4 linked regions of the Danio rerio genome follow. The protein of the gene in region 4 binds, or shares a complex with, the protein of the main gene of each other region. Links are inferred from orthologs where the notes say so. Each region holds a gene or a part of one and is shown on either strand. Other genes may lie near its edges.

The links.
Region 1: sart1 (region 4) and lsm4 share a complex: the UniProt entries of both Homo sapiens proteins name them as parts of the U4/U6-U5 tri-snRNP complex. The link is inferred for Danio rerio from reciprocal best matches to the Homo sapiens genes SART1 and LSM4.
Region 2: sart1 (region 4) and lsm5 share a complex: the UniProt entries of both Homo sapiens proteins name them as parts of the U4/U6-U5 tri-snRNP complex. The link is inferred for Danio rerio from reciprocal best matches to the Homo sapiens genes SART1 and LSM5.
Region 3: sart1 (region 4) and snrpd2 share a complex: the UniProt entries of both Homo sapiens proteins name them as parts of the U4/U6-U5 tri-snRNP complex. The link is inferred for Danio rerio from reciprocal best matches to the Homo sapiens genes SART1 and SNRPD2.

What each region holds. Positions count from the first base shown.
Region 1 is NC_133186.1:6,965,058-6,970,580, reverse strand, and holds the start of lsm4 (U6 snRNA-associated Sm-like protein LSm4), read left to right. Parts: upstream 1-1,856; 5' UTR 1,857-1,971; coding exon 1,972-1,974; intron 1,975-3,742; coding exon 3,743-3,784; intron 3,785-4,685; coding exon 4,686-4,784; intron 4,785-4,945; coding exon 4,946-5,147; intron 5,148-5,523. Other genes in the region: probable ATP-dependent RNA helicase DDX49, read left to right, coding at 354-425, 540-683. UniProt on the Homo sapiens protein: Plays a role in pre-mRNA splicing as component of the U4/U6-U5 tri-snRNP complex that is involved in spliceosome assembly, and as component of the precatalytic spliceosome (spliceosome B complex).
Region 2 is NC_133187.1:13,905,881-13,911,386, forward strand, and holds the start of lsm5 (U6 snRNA-associated Sm-like protein LSm5), read right to left. Parts: upstream 3,668-5,506; 5' UTR 3,586-3,667; coding exon 3,540-3,585; intron 2,778-3,539; coding exon 2,682-2,777; intron 1,441-2,681; coding exon 1,413-1,440; intron 751-1,412; coding exon 678-750; intron 1-677. UniProt on the Homo sapiens protein: Plays a role in pre-mRNA splicing as component of the U4/U6-U5 tri-snRNP complex that is involved in spliceosome assembly, and as component of the precatalytic spliceosome (spliceosome B complex).
Region 3 is NC_133193.1:43,800,490-43,804,825, forward strand, and holds the end of snrpd2 (small nuclear ribonucleoprotein Sm D2), read right to left. Parts: intron 1,826-4,336; coding exon 1,651-1,825; 3' UTR 1,368-1,650; downstream 1-1,367. UniProt on the Homo sapiens protein: Plays a role in pre-mRNA splicing as a core component of the spliceosomal U1, U2, U4 and U5 small nuclear ribonucleoproteins (snRNPs), the building blocks of the spliceosome.
Region 4 is NC_133196.1:30,351,250-30,356,236, reverse strand, and holds part of sart1 (U4/U6.U5 tri-snRNP-associated protein 1), read right to left. Parts: intron 2,720-4,987; coding exon 2,513-2,719; intron 2,421-2,512; coding exon 2,308-2,420; intron 1,249-2,307; coding exon 1,103-1,248; intron 951-1,102; coding exon 826-950; intron 1-825. UniProt on the Homo sapiens protein: Plays a role in mRNA splicing as a component of the U4/U6-U5 tri-snRNP, one of the building blocks of the spliceosome. May also bind to DNA.

The DNA.
Region 1 (5,523 bases), on a different chromosome or scaffold from region 4:
TCTTTACAAATTCCTCCATCAAAGATGAGACCTTTTATCAATGTTTACATTTTAAACGAGTGGCAAGAAGAATGGGATGCATTGGAAAATTATAAATTATATGAAATTCAACCTGAAATCTCACACAGAAGACATTTTAAGACTAGATTTGATCAAGTTGTTTTTACTAGATGTTGTATTGGACAGAAGAATAACCCATGTTTTTTGTTCCAAGGTGAAAACCCTAAGAAGTCAAGTTATTATTTGTTGTTCCTAAAACTTAAATAGGCGACAAGACTTTTGTCAGGTAGAATATATACACTTATATATCTAAAGCATGCTATAAAGTTTTACAATTGTTAATTCTTTTATAGAAATTAGAGTCGACAGATTTTGATGAGAAAAAGAAGATAAACAAAAGGAAGCAGATGATTCTGGATGGAAAAGTGAGTTATTTTTAAAAAAAACTTGTATATTTGTATGTTTCTTATAAAGTATTTTTGTGTACATGCATAATTTTACAATTTTTTTTCCTTGATTTAATTTTAAATCTATTGCAGGATCCTGATTTGGAAGAAAAAAGGAAAAATGAATTAGAGAAGATCCGAGGAAAAAATAAGAAACTCAAAGGAAAAAACCCCCAGAGCAAAAAGGAAAAGAAAAAACATGAGAAAAGTGCAAAAGCGACAGAAGTTGGCTCTTAATTTCCTCTCTTTTGTACAATTTAATATTATGTATATAGCGTGAATATGCTTATATTTAATAAACATGTGATGCAGTGTTGACTGTGTTGCTACATGAATGAATGAATCTGTGTTGATTTTTTTATTTTATTTTATTTATTGCTTTTTTCTGTGATTTCCTACATCTTTTGGGTTTAAAATTTTTTTTCACAATTTAGAGTTTTTACACTTTTTTTTTATTTTATAGCATGTCCACTGTAGTGGACCACAGGACCATTTTAGATAGAGGTAAAGCTGTTTTTCTATTCACATATTCCTTTATTTAGAAGTCTCTATATTGTTTACCATGTTACTTTGAATATTCGATCGGAATTAGCATGCAAGTCTGACTTCTAAACAACATTAACACTATCTAAATCACTGTAAACAATGCTGTACTTTAATAATCATTGGCTACTAATACGATTTCCCAATTTAAAATTTGCTAAGAAAACTTTTCTAAAATTATATTACTAAGGGGAAAGTCTGAATGCGAATATAAAACCAACTTTACCTCTATCCATTTTGGTTCAAAACAACCGCCAAACTCGGACAACAAAACTCTACAGGATATGGCTGTAAAGGGATATTAATCCAATATCAATGTAACAAAAAGAAAACAAAAGCCATTTTTTCCTTTTGTGTTGAAATTCCTGAAACAGTTTAGTCTAAAAGAGAGCCAAACTCAAAAGAAAAAAAGAGGTGATGTTAATTCAAAACAAATTTAACATAAAAGGTATTTATTTAATTGTCTGATTGTCAGACTTTAAATCCGAGTCTCCCTCAACTATCTTATAAAGAATCCTTTCTGCTTCCATTCTGCCCCTACAACATGCAGTCATTAATTACATTAATATGGTCCTGGTGTCCTTGAAACTTTCTGCATGAAGGACTCATAAATGGCAGATTAACCTGCTGCTGGATGATGTGTGGATGATTTACACGGGGCATAACTAAGCAACACAGCGATCTGTTAAGGAGGAAGTAGTAAGTCTCAAAGCTTGCATACTCTTTTGTTGCACACTCAAAAGTATAAACTTTTCCTTTACAAAAAAGTACATACTTTTTAGGGCGTAGTATAAATATGTGATTTGGGACGCAGCGTTTTGGGACTTTTGCTTTGACAACTTCCGCTTTCACCTGGAAGTACAACAGTAAGTGGTTTGCAGATCGCCTTGTGCTGCGAAGAAGATTCACAGAAAATCATTTGTGATTGAAGTCTTCAGTGGATTAAAACTTCATATAAAGACTGATTGGTCATTCAGCTGACATGGTGAGATGAAGTCGATAAACTTACTGGCTAACGTTAGTGAAATTAAGATTTTCCGCTGTGTTTATTGGATGATCTGTAGGTCGGTTAACACCGATTACGCGCAGAAACAAAGCGTTGTGTAAACGTTTTATTTGGGTGTATACACGAATCTTTACAAGCACGTTACGTACTTATTTAGTAAAATAGATAAAATTAGTTAAAAATCAATGTAGACGGCTATTATACATTTATTACTCTATTAAATTATCTCTACAGACATGCGAGGAACTTCAGAAGTCAGAAAGGTTTTGGCGTAGTTTTATCAAGAATATCCAAAGTCGGTTTTATATTCGCACATTCGTTCAGTGACAACTTGTGACATGCTCCCTACCTTGTTTACCATGGTACTTTAAACATTTGGTCTAAAATCACATGCAAGTATACTTGTGTATATGACTTGAAAACATCATTAGTGACCAGCCCGTCAACAACCATGCCACCTTCATAGTCACTTAAATCCCCTTTCTTCCAGCTTTCTGATGCTCGATTTAAACTAACGTTACAGCAGATCATCTTGACCATGTGTACATTCCTGAAGGCATTTCGATTCCGCCATGTGATTGGCTGATTAGAAATTTACGTTAATGAGCAGTTCGACTGGTGTACCTAATAAAGTGGACAGTGAGTGAATGTTTAAAATATATAAGCAATGGTACCTAAATAATCAAGTAAATCATCTTGCATATAGAGGTAAGTTTAGTTTTATATTCGCATATTCAGACTTTCCCCTTAATAATATAATTATAGAAAAGTATTCTTTGCAAATTCTAAATTGGAAAATCAAATTAGCAGCCAAATGATTATCAAAGTACAGCATTGTTTACAGTCAATTAGATGGTGTTAATGTTGTTTAGAAGTCATGTTTGCACGCTAATTCCGATCAAATATTCATGTTAAACATTATAGGGACTTCTAAATGAACGAAAATGCGAAAATAAAACTAACTTTACCTCTATATCTTACGTCAATAGTTTTTTTTGCATTATTATATATGCAGCAGAGAATGCAATTCGCTCCTGTTATGGCTTATATGAATAACAGGACTGAGTTTTTAACATTTAATGATCAAATACATGCTAAATGCTGTACGCTGTAATCTCTCGGCTGTGTATTTTAAACATGGCAGGTTTTTTGTTTTCATTCTGGCTTATTGCGTAGACGAATGACGTATTTCTGTAAACCTAGAACATTCAGTTGCACATCTAGCTCCGCCTTTTGGTACCCTTTCTCGTGTTTGGTATCCTTTCGAAATGGTGCCTAAGAAGTGGTACAGTTCGGTTCGCCTTTTGACAGTGCAAATGGCCATAAAAGCGTACCAAACCGAACCGTACCACTCAGTGAAAACAGGCCATAAGCGATTTGTTTTTCAAATATTTGCTGAATCGTGGGCTAACCGGTGTCTTGAGATGTAGAGGGTCCTTTTCTGCTGGAGATAGTGTTGCTAAATGAAAACTAAATGAAATCAAACAATCAAACAAAACTTGCATATAACATAGAAAAAATATCTGAAAAATAATAGCAATTTTAAAATTTTAAGTTTTCCAAACCGCTGTTAACCTTGAACCCAGTTATTGTCCTATATGCTCAGTCCAGGGTCACATATTCTGGTTAGTGAGTGTAATCTCCAATTGAATAACAATTAACAATATTCCATTGTGAGCACAGAAGAAACTCTTCATTTACTCTGTTGTTAGCATGACCACTCGAATTCTTTCTTTTTCTTTTCTAGCTCCCGTTATCTTTACTGAAGACGGCACAGAACCACCCGATGGTGAGTATCAAGCAGCTCACTTCATGCGTGCATCTTTATTGTCAGCACGAAGTTAAAGGTGCCATGATCAGGGATCATACTGTCCTGAAAAGTCATGGAATTTTGACAAGGCATTTTCCAGGCCTGAAAATGATTTGGAAAAACAAATAAACCCAAAATGTTATAACGATGGTTTGTTCTGTAGACTATTAGAAAGATATATAGCTTAAAGGGGCTAATAATATTGTCCCTAAAATGTTTTTTTATTTATTTAAAACTGCTTTTATTTAAGTAAAACAAATAGGACTATATATATATATATATATATATATATATTTATTTATATATATATATATATATATATATATTTATTTATTTATATATATATATATATATATATATATAGTACTTCAATTAAGAGCAGAGAGGGATTTTCTCGTTGTTTTATTAATTATGATAAAACAGGCGGCAGCTATTGTGCTCTGTCACTTTAATGGTTTCGCTTTCACGCGTCATTTGATTCTCAACTCATTTGTTTATTACACAAATGAGGGTTAATATGAATAATCACTAAATACTGCGTTTTGACACCTGTTTGAACATTAAAGCGCTCACGTTAATGACTTTAGATGTGTGTGCTCTCTGCTCGTCGCAATGTGCGAATAAGACCAACTGCTGACCGCATGCTTCTGACTGTGTCTGTGCGGCGCACACACACAAGCATGTGGTCTTTCGCGCTTTTAAGAGCAACAAGTGAGGACAATTGGACGGGGGCGGTAAATAATGGAATAATCGTTTATCTCGATTAATGTTTTTTTATAATCGTTAGAAGCCGAAATCGAATTTTCGATTAATTGCACAGCCCTAAAATGAAGTGCTGAACAATAATTGAGCTTTTAAGTTAATCTGCTTTTCTTTTCAGCTGGTTGAGTTAAAGAATGGCGAGACATACAACGGCCATCTGGTCAGCTGCGACAACTGGATGAATATAAACTTGAGAGAAGTTATTTGCACTTCACGGGTAAATACGACTTCATTCAGATGAAAACGTCTTTGGGAGACTATTGATTCCTTACAAAATTAAGCAAAACACTTGTTTGTTTTATTTAAACAAATCTGCAGGTTATTTATTTGTCTTGCTGAAATGTGACGGCTGTTTTTTCTGCTTGCTCTGATTTGCAGGATGGAGATAAGTTTTGGAGGATGCCAGAATGCTACATAAGAGGAAGCACCATTAAATACTTGCGAATCCCTGATGAAATTATAGATATGGTGAAAGAGGAAGTGGTGTCAAAGGGCCGTGGCCGGGGTGGCATGCAGCAGAATAAGCCACAAGGAAAGGGCAGAGGAGGTGGACCTGGAAGAGGTGGCGGACCTGGCAGAGGTCTGATGCTTTTATATTCATACAATAGATCATATCATATAATCATTCCAGACATATATAGCCCTCCTTTTCCCCCAAGTTCTGTTTACTGAGAGATTTTTTTCAGGACATTTCTAAACAATAGTTTTAATAACTCATTTCTAATAACTCATTTCTTTTATCTTTGCCATGATGACAGTAAATATTATTTGATTAGATCTTTTTCAGGATGCTAGTGATCAGCTTAAACTGCCATTTAAAGGCTTGATTAGGTGAACTAGGCAGATTAGGGTAATTAATGGTAATTAATTGCTTAAGGGGGCTAATAATATGATAATAAATAATGAAAATAAAATGGTAAAAAACTGCTTTCATTCTAGCTGAAATAAAACAGACT
Region 2 (5,506 bases), on a different chromosome or scaffold from region 4:
TTGTAAAACAGGTGTTTGTATCTACATATAATCTAAAAGCAAAGTGAAATCAGACATATCCTTTGTATTTTTAACAGACACCTGCGCAGACATGGAAGTTAAAAAGTAAAAAAAATAAGTGTAATCTTTCAGGGTCATCCATTTATTGGTGCAGAAATGCAAACTTATCAGTTTGTTTTATATAAAAAAATAATAGGTGTTTGAGAATCCCGCATCTACTAAAATAGCCAATCAGAGATTACTGTAGGTCAAAATAGAAAAGTTCAATAAGTTTGATTAATAAATTAGATGTTTTTGAATTAAATATATAAATTTGGTTCACAGAAGCTTGTATTACACTAACATTACTGAAAAAGTGGACCACTGACACCGATTTGTCAATGTATAATTCACACCCTAGGTACATTATAAATAATATGAGATTAAACTGGAATAGCAAAAAAGCTAATTATTAAAATGACAGAAGCAAACTTCTTTGTTTTTGTTTATAAAAATGTAAAATTGAAATAAGTTTACAAAATGCCAAAACAGAACACTTCTGACAACAGAAAATGTACATAAACTTGCATTAAAAATTACATTTTAAAATAATGAAAAAAAATTAAAATGACATTAAAGCAAATATTGTTTGCTGGTGCATGCATGAGATTACTTGCAGATGAACTTATTTGTCATACCATTGTGATGTTATTGCCATTAAGGAGAATCTGATCCAGTTTTGTGATTCTTCTTCCCTCTGGTGTGATTTCACTGTGATACAAACACACAAGCCCGAGATGAGGAAATATTTAATACCAAGTGTTCAAAAATGTAACCTACATCTATAAATTCTTGTGAAAATACTTCATAATCCAATTTTCCTTGCATCTTGAATACATGAGTGTACACTTCACATTCAAGTACACTTCACATTCAATTGATTTTTTTTTTTTTTTAATCAATGATAATACTTGGAATTATTCTTTAATAATAATGTCACAAAATATTAAACGGTTTCAATAGTGATAAAAATTTGCTAATACCATTGAACTTCTAACTAAGCATACTTTAAAAAAAGTTTCTAAAAAGATTAGAAAATGCCTTCTCTATGCAGTATAGTTTATAGAATAATTAGAATACAGTATAAATAGTCTAATGGTATAAAACTTGAGCTTTAGTTAATCTCTAGAACGAAAGTGCTTTTTTTATTGATAGTTTATCCTAATAAAACAAACACCTAAAATTTTGGAGACAGGATACTGATCGTTTGAAACTCGAACAGCATTTAGAACAATAGAAGGTTGAGTAAATGTTGACAATTAAAATTTTTGAGGGAACTATCCTTTAAGTCAAAGCAGAAGAGAATGCATGAATACACTGTGCAAAGACAATTAAGCAAATATTTAATATTTTTGTTTAGGAAATATACTTACAATTCTGTGACATCCTCTAGGACCATGTCTGATGTAAAGCATCAAGGAAATGTACAACATCGCAAAGATAACATTACATAGACATTTACATTTCTCTGTTGACAACATGTGATGTAGTGTATTGTATTTTTTTATTTAATGCCATGTCAGCAATGCAAGGCTATTTTCATGGCAAGAACATTTCAATAATAAATATACAATTAAAAAACAAAAACAAATGAATACATAAATTAAATACATCTTTAAATGCTAATACATTTTTTTATAATTTTTTTACTATTTTCCAGGTGTCATTTTGCTAAAAATGTCCTGAAGAGACATCATTTGATAAAAAAAAAAAAAAAGCCTTCTGGAATTGTTAAAAGCAGGACAATCCAGTAAAATCTGTTTTACTGTAAAAGAAAGTGTGATGTGCAAATATTGAGCAGGGTCTTCACATTTGAGCAAAAAAAAAAAGCATGGATCATTCTTGCATGTCCAATACAACATCTAGTAAAAATCACTAAATCAAATTTAGTCTTAAAATGACTAAAAATTCAGTTTGAGATTTCAGGTTGTATTTCATACAGTTTATTATTTCTCAATGCATCCTACTCCTCTTGCCACTTATTTAAAAAGTAAACGTTGATAAAAGATTTCATCTCTAAAAGAGGAATTTGGCATTCGTTCACAACTTATTTCAAAGCATCCTTAGCTGCTGGATCAAGCTCGCTCGTTTCCTGAAAGCCCAACATGTCCCGGAACCCAGCAAAAAAAAAAAAAAAAAAATATGAAAAAAAATGGTTTTGTAAATGGTGAACTTTAGTTATAATATCATTAATCAAAGGATGATCATTTTCTGAAGATTCCATCACTTGGAGGCATGATTTGGAGTCTGTAAATATGATAGAGTTCTTTTGTTGGACATTTTCTTATATTAAAATGCTAAAACTAAAGCACAGGCTAATGAACATTCTTTAGGCAGACTGATTCCACAACGTTGTTGTTCAGTAACCATTGCTGCCGTTATGCCATTTTCCACCCTGGAAGAGCAACCGCTGCGTAAAACATATGCTAAATAAGTTGGCGAGTCATTCCGCTGTGGCGACCCCAGATTAATAAACGGACTAAGGGAAATAAAGGGAAATCTTATGTGTAACTATATCTTTAGCTAGCAGTATTTATAAAAAAAAAAAAAAAAAAAAAGTTGAATCCAAAACTAAATTGTAAACATCACAAATATTTGACAGTGTTTTGTTTATTTTTTTACCGCCAGTAGGTAAAGGATACTGACAAAGTCGTCAAACCCAAGCAGAGTTCCCACAATCTCTTTATCGTTCTTCATAACGATGTGAATCCGAGAGCCAATGCACTTATCCACCAGCTCTGAAAGACAGCACACAATCCCCATCATAAACACAGTCACATCATTGGCTGTTAAAGGAAACATTTTGAGTGGTCAGTGTGATATACAACTGTAAAACCTTGTAAAGAAATTCAATTTATGTTAAACGTTACTTCAACAACTATACAGCCAAGGTAAGTTTTTAACGAACCACGTTTAATAAAATTTAAAATTTCTTTGGCTTTAACACTAGGTGTGGGATTGAGTAATATGTTAATACCAAATTCATTCTTTAAAGTACTAATTTTAGGCTTATTTGACTCAACAACAAAAAAATCCTGCGAGTAAAGAGTGGAGTGGCTTTTAATCATTTGACACGGTATCTCTAATGTCGTAACTCATACATAAAATTTTATTTTCAGAGTATCTTACTTATAAATACATCTTAATGGAAATTGTTAATGATAAATGTGTTCCCAAGTCATAATTACAATATTTTAAACTCCAACAGAGGGAAACATATTAGTGATTTATTTTTTTCGCCCACACTAACTAAATGAACTGGCTTCCGTTTATATATAATCAATCACACATTGATGTATAAATTTGTGAAATTAAATATTTAAGTTAAAATAAAAACACATTGACATGATTAGGGCCACATCTTTTGTGCACAGGTGTATTCAATTAGATAAAAAAGCAAAGTGAGTTACGAACGTGACTGATTGGCATCTCTGCCCCGTACAAAAACACAAAAGTTATGTCAGTAAATGATAAGCAATTTTAAAGAAAGTGAAACAAACCGAGTGGTAAAAGCTGCGAAGGATTCGTTGCTGTGATTGCCGCCATTTTGATAACAGACCTGAATAATCGGGACCGGAAGCCAATTACAAGCATGGATAATCGATATCAGCACACATCGATAGCATCTTCTTCTTCTTCTTCTTTCTGTTTTATGGCGACTAACAATTAAAAGCATTATCGCCACCTACTGTACCGAATCTTACTCCGATGAAAGGGCAACAAAAAGAAACGAGGAGGGAGGGAAAGGGGGGAAAAAAACACCTTGGATGTTTCATATTGTCCAATCTTTGCATCTAGACCACATACTCATGTCAGCACTGCGTGTTCAGCTCCTCTAACATAAAGGGCCTTTATGACAATGATTGAGAATACTCTCATCCATAAATATAAGACTATAATAACCTAAATCCGAATACTCTATATACCTAATAAACGCTCTATATACTTGCCAATCTATTATACCTTTTCCTAGAATAATTTTATATATTGTTTTATCTTCCCCACACTGACTGAATAACATATTGCGATGTTTATTATATTTGCTACATATAAATAGTGCATAATCCACATTTTCAGTTACACCACATACATCACATTTCCCATCCTCATGTAAACCCATTAACGCAAGTGTTGCATTTAACCCTGTGTGTCCCAATCTTAATCTTGATAACCACACCTCTTCCTTCCTATTTCTTCCTTGATTTAGTGTTGTCCCTACTGTCTGTATAATACTATAGTGCCATCTTCCAGTATTACTATTATCCCATCTAATTTGCCATTTATTTATTAGTTTTTCCTTTAAAATCGATTTTGCCTCTCTTTTCCCCAGAGGTACATTTACTTCCTCTTGCTTATTTAGTGCTTCCTTTGCTAATTTGTCAGCAACTTCATTACCAGATACCCCAATATGTGATGGAACCCAGCAGAAATAAACGACTACTCCTATTTCCTTTAATCTATATAAAGATAAATAGATTTCTGTTATTAAATCCTCTCTATCTGATTTTGAGTTTGCTATACTAACTAAGGCTGAAGATGAATCTGAACAGATTACTACTTTGTTTACATCGATAGCATGAGAGGGGCTTGGCTTTTTGTACAGCCTGTGGCTGTAACATTAGAGCAGTGTTACCCAAGTTTTTTCTTTTAAAGGGCATGTCAGTCAGTCAAAATGTTGCATCATATAGGCTACCAAACTGTATGTCACAGTAATTTGTCACGGTAATTTGGAGTTTTATAGCTTGATTATAGCTTGATTAATTTTTCCATCTCCCAGTATCTCCTCTCTGATGGAATGACGGACCAAATCGGAAACCAAAACACAGAACACAGTACACTTCCACAATAGGTTTCCATTTTTTGTAAAACTTGACAATACTGTAACTGTTCCACTTCCAGAGTAAAAAAAAATCATTATAGGCCTAAGGTTGTATTCAGACTTGAAACATCAATACCCAGGTAACAAGGAATTCTGGCCCAGATTTGGTATAAAGCTGGCATAGCCAATATGCAGCCTTTATGATGCAAGCTAAGATTGCATCAATCAGCGATACAGTGTCAGACACAATGCACTCAAATGGAGCAAGTGACGTCACTGTGATGGGTAGGGTTAGGGGTGGGGTTAGATGGGGCTATTAAAAAGTATTGTATGCAACTCAGATTGCACTGCACCAGGTCTGCACCCAGACCCTCTCGTCATAGCATTCATTTATTCAGCACTGGCATACAGCATGTAAGCCAAACAGGGGTCAGGTTTGCCAGGTAGCACTGCCTTTAAGGTGGCACGCATGACATGGTCCAGATGTCAAATGTAGAAGGCTATTTGGCCCAGATGTTAAATATTGATATATGGGCTACATGGTTTCTTGACCCACATTTGAAATACATAAAAAATTTAGCTGCATGGTGGAGCGGTGGGTAGCACAATCACCTCAAAGCCAGATGGTTACTGGTTCACAGCCCCGGC
Region 3 (4,336 bases), on a different chromosome or scaffold from region 4:
GACATGCGGTACAGATGAATTGTGTAGGCTAAATTGTCCATAGTGTATGAGTGTGTGTGTTTCCCAGAGATGGGTTGCGGCTGGAAGGGCATCCGCTGCGTAAAAACTTGCTGGATAAGTCGGCGGTTAATTCCGCTGTGGCAACCCCAGATTAATAAAGGGACTAAGCCGACAAGAAAAGGAATGAATATATATTGCAATCATGATTTTCAAAAGTATTAAATTGCTTTGTAAACGCTTATTATTACCATTTTATGAGTCTCCCCATTCAGTTGAACAGAGCGCTTGGACCCGGAGACGCTTTGCTTCACACTTAACAAGCGGATAGTATATTTTTTATAATTTAATACATCAAGATTTCAGATGCAAAAACCTCTATGCATTTTTCTCAGGTGATTGTGTAGGTTCAGTAATTTCAAATTTTTTCAAACACAGAAGGCTAAGGAAAAATGCACATTTAAGAGGAAAATTTCTGATGGTGCTTAAAGGTTTCTGCATCTCAACACATTTAATAATACAATAATAATTTTATAATAACATTTTATTTTTAAATATTTTAGACATTTCTTGGCAAAATATTTTAAACATTGTATAAAAACAAGCAAGCAAAATACACTCTCTTTAAACAACTGATCAAATGTTAATAAACTAAATCTATACACAATCTGTCCAAGTTGGTGTCAGCAGTAAATATATGGAGCACTTTTAAACAAATGTTTTTGTAAGGAAAATAATTAAATCATTATGATAAAACAGAGTTAAAAATGACCCTTTTAAATAAAAAGGTTAAAGTTTGGTATTGAGATTAGGATTGTTGCTGTTGCTGATGTGCAATAATGGCCAGATTGGGAAGCACAACATCAGGGTTTCTGCAGGTTTCTTCAAATCAAGTGCAAGACTTTAAGACTCTTAAGACCATGAGTGAAATTTTAGACTTATACAGGGCTAAATATTAAAGTTTTTTTTCTGATGGGTCGGTTACTTCTATAAATAATTTGTATAATGCTGGAAGATCATGTAAAGGGATTCATACAGTAAAAATGTCAGGCTAAATAAATAATGAAAATGAATCATTGACTTCTGCTGTTTTCATTAGTTTCAAAAGCACAGATTTCTTTACAATTTAAAATGACATCTTTGAATATTTTTCCAGCTGGAGATAATGTTGTCCTAAAAAAAAAAAAAAAAAAAAAAAAAAGGAAATAAACTATTTACTATATTATCCTACATACACCCTAGACACAAATGAAAAGATAATGATGACGGTTTTAATACCTTGACTTTTCCGAACAGCAGTATACCTTGAAAACGGTTATCGTTCCATGCCTACATCCTAGAGTCATACAATAGATTGAATAGATCAAGACTTGAATATCCAAAAATTTATTTAGAAAACAAATCACAAATGACAAAACAATAACAACAACAAAATTAACTCCAACATCTTTATCATTTTGTTGACCAGACAATCTCTCCAGATGATGTTAAACGTTTTCCAGCTAAACATTATTGTTTCAGCTCAAGGCATTCTGTGTATGAAGTAATAATTAATTAGCTGAAAAGCCTAATTAGCACTTTTAACACAGTTGTGTGAGTGAGTGTGTGTCCAGGAGACAGCCTGTACTTGAACAGTCGTGTTACACGTCAGCTTTATTTCCCTGTGATGAGTGGGTTCCTCAGCACCACGATGACCGAGTCGCCTCTCAGGAACATCTTGGAGATGTAGCGATCTTTGTTCACTGGCTTTGACTTCTTCTTGCCTTTGCCGCTCTTGGGCACCTCTGTCCACATTTCTTTCACATTCTCCAGAACCATATTACAATGCCTGAGAACACGAGAGAAAACAGACAACAACTTGACATGCAGCCATGTAGATGACTCACTCCAACTAAAATAATGAGTGGTGCGGACCTGAAATAACACCATCAACATGAGATATGCGCTGGAGGATGAGACTGAAACAAAATTGTTAATAAGATTTCTTTAAGACTTTTGTGAAGTGTTAGAAATGGTGAAGTATTGGGTGGGATTTAAATATATCCCCTTATACCTTAAACTGGACATCTTATGTAAATGCTTATGATGCTTATTAAGAACATGTCAAATGTATTACAATAGAGAGAGCATACTGTGTTATGAAAAAAATTGTTTATATATAGTTTATATACTATATAGTAATAGTTTATATATTATATAGTAACAGTTAATATTATGTTTATATATTATATGTTATATAGTAATAGTTTATACTATATAGTAATAGTTAATATTATGTTTATATATTATCTTATATATTAATAGTTTATATATTATATAGTAACAGTTATTATTATGTTTATATATTATGTTATATAGTAATAGTTTATATATTATATAGTAACAGTTATTATTATGTTTATATATTATATGTTATATAGTAATAGTTTATTTATTATATAGTAACAGTTAATATTATATTTATATATTATATGTTATATAGTAATAGTTTATATATTATATAGTAACAGTTAATATTATGTTTATATATTATATATGTTATATAGTAATAGTTTATTTATTATATAGTAACAGTTAATATAATGTTTATATATTATATATGTTATATAGTAATAGTTTATATACTATATAATAATAGTTAATATTATGTTTATATATTATCTTATATATTAATAGTTTATATATTATATAGTAACAGTTATTATGTTTATATATTATATGTTATATAGTAATAGTTTATATATTATATAGTAACAGTTATTATGTTTATATATTATATGTTATATAGTAATAGTTTATTTATTATATAGTAACAGTTAATATTATATTTATATATTATATGTTATATAGTAATAGTTTATATATTATATAGTAACAGTTAATATTATGTTTATATATTACATATGTTATATAGTAATAGTTTATTTATTATATAGTAACAGTTAATATAATGTTTATATATTATATATGTTATATAGTAATAGTTTATATACTATATAATTATAGTTCATATTATGTTTATATATTATCTTATATAGTAATAGTTTATATATTATATAGTAACAGTTAATTTTATGTTTATATATTATATATGTTATATAGTAATAGTTTATATACTATATAATAATAGTTAATATTATGTTTATATATTATATATGTTATATAGTAATAGTTTATATACTATATAATAATAGTTAATATTATGTTTATATATTATATATGTTATATAGTAATAGTTTATTTATTATATAGTAACAGTTAATATAATGTTTATATATTATATATGTTATATAGTAATAGTTTATATACTATTAAGTAATAGTTAATAATTATGTTTATATTAGACTTGGGCGGTAATACAGTAATATAGTATACCGCAGGATCTAAAAATAGCCACGGTGTCAGTTTCAGTACCGTTATACCGTCATAAAAAACATTGAATTTAAATAGTAGACAAGTATTCAATATTAAATATCCTTTATTTATTGCCTACAAATAAGTATGCGTGATTGTCATCACGGGACAGTGTGGAGGAGAGAGAGGGAGGGAGAGTTGAGGTGGCGAGTCGCGCACTAAGTGACCTGCAGTTTGGCAGTATTTCCGGATTCGACCGAACAAGAAGGAAGACGTGGTAAATATGAACTAGAGGTCTGCATTCCTGCTGCTGTACCGCGGGGGACAACCCGATTTCTTGTTGTGCAGGAATACATTTCCGAATATGCAATCTGCGTGTGTCACTTGGTGCTCTCTCTCGGTGTGTGTTTGTGTGTGTGTGAATGAGAGAGAGAGAGAGAGAGAGAGAGAGAGAGAGAGAGAAAGAGAGTTGCTGGGTGTTGCTTGGTTCTCTCTCTTCTTTTTCTCTCTATCTCTGTGTGTGTGTGTGTGTGTGTGTTTGAAGAAAGAGCGTCCTACGCAGAAGAATACAAACAAGACAAACAGGTGACCGCAAACCTAAGGTCGCATATACGGTATCAGTTTCTGAATGGTTTAGGCACAATTTGGTGACGCTGTCTGAGCCTTACGTCGTAATTTTGTTTATTATGCTTGGTAATACCGGATACCTGGTTAAAATAGGGAGGAGATTTGACGGTATACCGCCGGTTGGATACCGCCCAAGCCTAGTTTATATATTATATATCTTATATATTCATGGTTTATATATTATATAGGAAAAGTTAATAATATGTTTATATATTAAATATCTTATATTAAAAGTTCATATATTATATTGTAATAGTTTATATATTATATAGTAATAGTTTAGATATTATATAGTAATAATTTATATTATGTTTATATATTACATGGTAGTATTGGGAAAATATTCAGCAAAATCATT
Region 4 (4,987 bases):
TCAAGGAGAGCTGTGGTGAAATATTGCTCTAGGAGTCCATTTGCATCTTTTCTGAGATTTTCAAATTGCATCGCTATTCTGTCTTGAATGGATACTGAGCATAGCTGCAACATCAGATGGCACTTTAAGCTTTACTAACAGCCACATTCTGCTTCCATCCACTTCCTAACAAATGCAGTACCTACCGAGTAATAGGCAATTTTAGACACAGCTTGCTAGCTCTCTTCTTCATGAGCATTTGAGTATATGGTTAAGAACTAGCCTAGAGTGCCATCTGCTGTTAAAAACTAAGCTCAGCATCAAGAAACAATAGTAATGCATTTAAAAAATCTTCGATTTTAAGTAGAATCAATTTTATTTACCACTGCTCTATATCAACACACTTCAGAGTAGATTTACCACATTTGGAAAGCAGTTACTTCTGCACACTTCAGCATTAAGGATTTGCCAGAAATTAAGGTGCCTCTTAGGTTGGGCGTTGTTGACCAATTTGGCATTGTACAATGTCTAATATGAAACATTGCAATGGACGATGCCATCATCGTCATAGGCGGGGTGTGAGGTTGTTAAATATCAATTAATTCATAACTAATTAGTTCATTGTAGCCTACCGTTTTCACTACCTGACCTACATGGTCTTTGCTTTACCCATAACCAAACCATAAATAAATAAGTTACAAACAAATGACCACCCACAGCAAATCATACAGATTTTGATGTCATTACACTGCATGAAACAATATAAAAAAAATGAAATGACTATGAAATGATAAGGAAAACATGTATTCTTTTTGTTATTTTGCTTTAGTAGCATCCAGTGCTCACCCTTTCTCCGGAATCTTTAAGCATCTGTTTTTGTCGGAGTAATCTCTGCTTCTCAAGCTGTTTCTGGAGCTCTTGCTCAGCTTCATCCTCTTCTAAAGCAGACGGCTCTGGGGGGACAAAATCCTCTGAGAAAGACAAGGAGAAACACTGTGAGTGCCGAGAATAGTGATCCAACTCATTTGAATATCAAAGCAAAGACCCCTAGAGAGAAACAGATGCCTTAAAAGAAAAAAGGAAAAAGAGTTTTAAATTTGGACATGAAGACGTTTTCTCTTACCCTCATCACTAATGTCCATATCGGCCATTCTAATGTCATCTGACTGCTGGAGGACATTTCTGGACTTGCTGATGTTTTCTATAACAACATCACCGGGCACTGCCTCTTCCTCCTCATCTGCTGCTTTTCTACCTCGACCTCGAGACCTGAGAGCCAGAATGATTGTGTTAAAATATTAGTATTGTTGCTGGAGTATTTAAGCCAAGAAATGCAGGAAAACTGTATTGTTGCCCGAGTATTTAAGCCAAGATAATGCAGGAAAATATGTTTTACATGCACCTTGTCATTTTACATCAACATGTTTTAGAGATTATAATTATTTTATCATAACCTTCAATCATTTTAGAGATTGTGGGCTTTATAGTGTTTATTTTTCGACCTTAAGTGCAGTAAACGTTTAAAATACACTTTTAAGTGTGTCAGGTCACTCACAGTTTAATTACAATGTATTTATTTTCTTTTTCAAAAGCCATCTTCTCAAAATAAAACTTTAGCACCACTAAATCTATACTCTGAAGATTTTTGCAGAGGAATATGATCATACACTATTTGTTTGATTATACATATTACTTTTATGAAACAAAAAGCTATGAATATTGTTTTTCTGAATGCTTATAGTACTTTAGAAATGATTAGTGATAAAAGTAAATTCCGCAGATCCCCCCTATAAAAATCTACTATTCGTATTTGTCAAAAAAATATAATTCTAATGATGATGATACAAGGAGTGTAAATAATTTGTTTATAAAGAATCATATTTAAAATTAAATTTCTTATATTAACCAGAACCAATACATTTAAATGAAACCTCTAATTTTTATTTCTAATTTTCAAGGCTATTTTTATGGCAAGAACATTAATAAATATACAATTAAAAACAACAAACAAATGAATACATAAATAAGATTTTAGGGTGAATACATGATGAAAATTCTAACACTGATAGAAATATAAGCATTCTGAACCAGAGTTCAACAAATTTTTAGATTTTAGTTTGAGAAATGCAAACTAGCTTGTTTAATTAAATCATGCATCATTTGAATATTAATACAGCACCTTAGAAAACTTGCTATGTAAAATAAAAATGTTTGCAATTGTCAATGTAATTCATCAACTAGTAAAGATGTTAACTATTAGTTGATAATTTTTTTTCACCATTTTCACCTGCAGTGTCCTGCATTAACACAACTGAGTGAAAACTTCACCTGGATCCGAAATCTGAGTTTCGAGTGTCGTCAACCAAGAGCTCGTCAGCCCTGGGTACTTTCTCCTTCTTTCTGATTTTCTTGACCTTACGTTTAGTTTTCTTAAAGCCAACCTTAAGTCACACATTAGGGGGGGAAAAAAGAAAACCATCAGTCAAAAATAAAATACAATTTGAATTCAAGCTTGCTGAAATGTGGTTCTCACCATCTCCTGTGGCGTGTAGTATTCAGTGGCAAGAGTGAGGGCAGACGTGCTCAGAGACTGGGCCTGATCGCGCAGACTCTCTCTGATGGCCTGCAGCTCTCGCTCTCTCTCACCTCCAACAAAACCTCCAGAACTTAGCCTGAAGCTCTTTTTCTTCTCCCCCTCGATCTCCTCATCATACTTGGACAGCACAGACTTTGGCTTAAACTGGAAAAAGATGACATAAAGGTTTAAAGTTTAAAAATACTACAGTGGAAATAACAATAAATTATTTTTATTGCAGCAAAAATACTTGATTGTTGTGCCAGAATGAGAATATTGTTCCTAGCCATATTGATTTCATTTCAATTCTTAGTAGGTAATGTATCTACTACAGAAGTGTCAACCTTCAAATAGGAAAATGATCAAAACTCTGAGGAACATGCTAATGTAATATTCAATGATTCAATGATTTAGCTAAGCTAAGCTGAAAGTGCTCCTGCCAGACCAGAAACTCAGCAGAAGGAACTGAAAAATGGTAAAACTCAATCGTTTTAACTTTAGGGGAGATGTAAAATGAATTCCAAAAAAGGTGGAGTGTTTATCTGAAGAACTAGTGAGGACAAAAGTTTATGGTGTTCTTGTGTTGCTGGAATTATGACCAACAGCTGTACTCTAACACACCAAAAAGAACTACATGCGAATAAAATACAGAAAATGATCTAAAATAATCAATGTTGCTCATTCAAAAAAAACTAGTACTTCCAACACACAAACTGTAAACAAAGCACCATTTTGCATATTACATGGAAATATTTGCTCATTTAAATGCTCAGGAAAGATGACATGACATCAGACTTCTCTTGTAAATTTTGGCTTTGCTCGGTTGCTTCATTTTAGGAGAATGTGATGCTTATGTTGCATTCATACGATATTGAAATTATTGTAAACAGTTTCTTGGTCAAGTTTAAATCTGAAAATCTGATCATTTTGATAACCATTTGAAGCATATTTAGTTTTATTCGACAGTGGAATTAGCATGGATGTGTATACGGTTGTCATAAAAACGGGATGTTACATTTAATTTTAAATTAAATATTTCAATACACTATTTCTGTGAGTAATAGATAAGAATAATACTTGTATCCTCGACAATTCATGTATTTTACAAAACAAAGCTCTTGAATATAAAAAGCTCGTAATCTTGTTTTTGCATGAAGCATAGCACTGGAACTTAAGATTACACTGTAATACATCACTGTATCATATTTATTCAAGAGAATGTGTCCTCATTCGATAAGAAGACAACTCATAACTCCATGTGCAGATTTCTTTTGATACAAATCAAAAATAAGTGTAAAAAAAACCTGTATAAAATGAGGTATTTAGCTGCAAAGGAGAATTAGACCATACATTTGTTGGGACATTTGATGACAGCAAAATGAAAATGTCCCCACCCACACTAACTTTTGTAGCAGTTGATACAAATTTTATGAAAAAAATCTAGCTTGTGCAGACAAAAACAGGGCTCGAAATTGTTTTGGTCGCATATGTGCCTGAAATTTCATCAATGCGCACTCAAAATATAATCGGAAGCATTTGTGCGAGTGCATAAAATTGTTGCCGTGCGACCAGTTTTCATTGCAAATTGTTCACCACATGCGTGGGCACTCATGCACAATCCATCTTTGCACCTAAAATGCCCAATACTTGCCCCACTCTCGCCCTTTTCTGATTGGCCCACTGCTCTAGAACTGTAAGTGAATGGACTGGTTAATATCAACTGTCAATCGCTCAAACAATAGCTTCTGCCTTCAGATGACAGGCGCAAAAATGGAAAGAGCTGAAGATGAGAGAACTGACAGATTTTGTTCTAGAAAACACTTAAATTTACAAATAACGGTACATCTGATTAGTGATCATGTGATGAATGCTAATCCACCATTTACACTTTTCAAAAGAGTGGATAAAAGACTTCCATTGAGTTAAAGTCCGCTATAAAATGATTGAAGCATTCAATGTAAAGCAGGTGTGATGGAGTTTGCAGGTAATAGCCTTTGCCACTAAATCTACTCACTTTAAGTGTGAGAGGTTTTATTTAATCCATTTAATCGTCAGCCATGGAAGTGGAAGCTGTATGTAAAATGTAACACCGTGTGCACCATCGCAAAAGGACTTGCATTCACTAAGATGAAATTTTGCAGCTCATGAAAAGACTGTTATTGCTATTAAGATGACATATGCAAATAATAAGTTATATTTCAATAACAACAGTGCAATATCAGACACCACCCCTGAAAATAGCAGTTATTACTCTTAACTAAGATTCATTCATGTCAAGCAGTGCATGCAGGGCTGGTGGTCGCAGATTTTTTGTTTGTTAGTTTTGATTAGTGTCGATTTTAAATGCATTAACCTTTTTTTATGAAACTTGAAGAAACTGTGTTCGTAATTGGTGGTCACGACTAAATTTTGGCTGGTGCTCCTATATTTTTT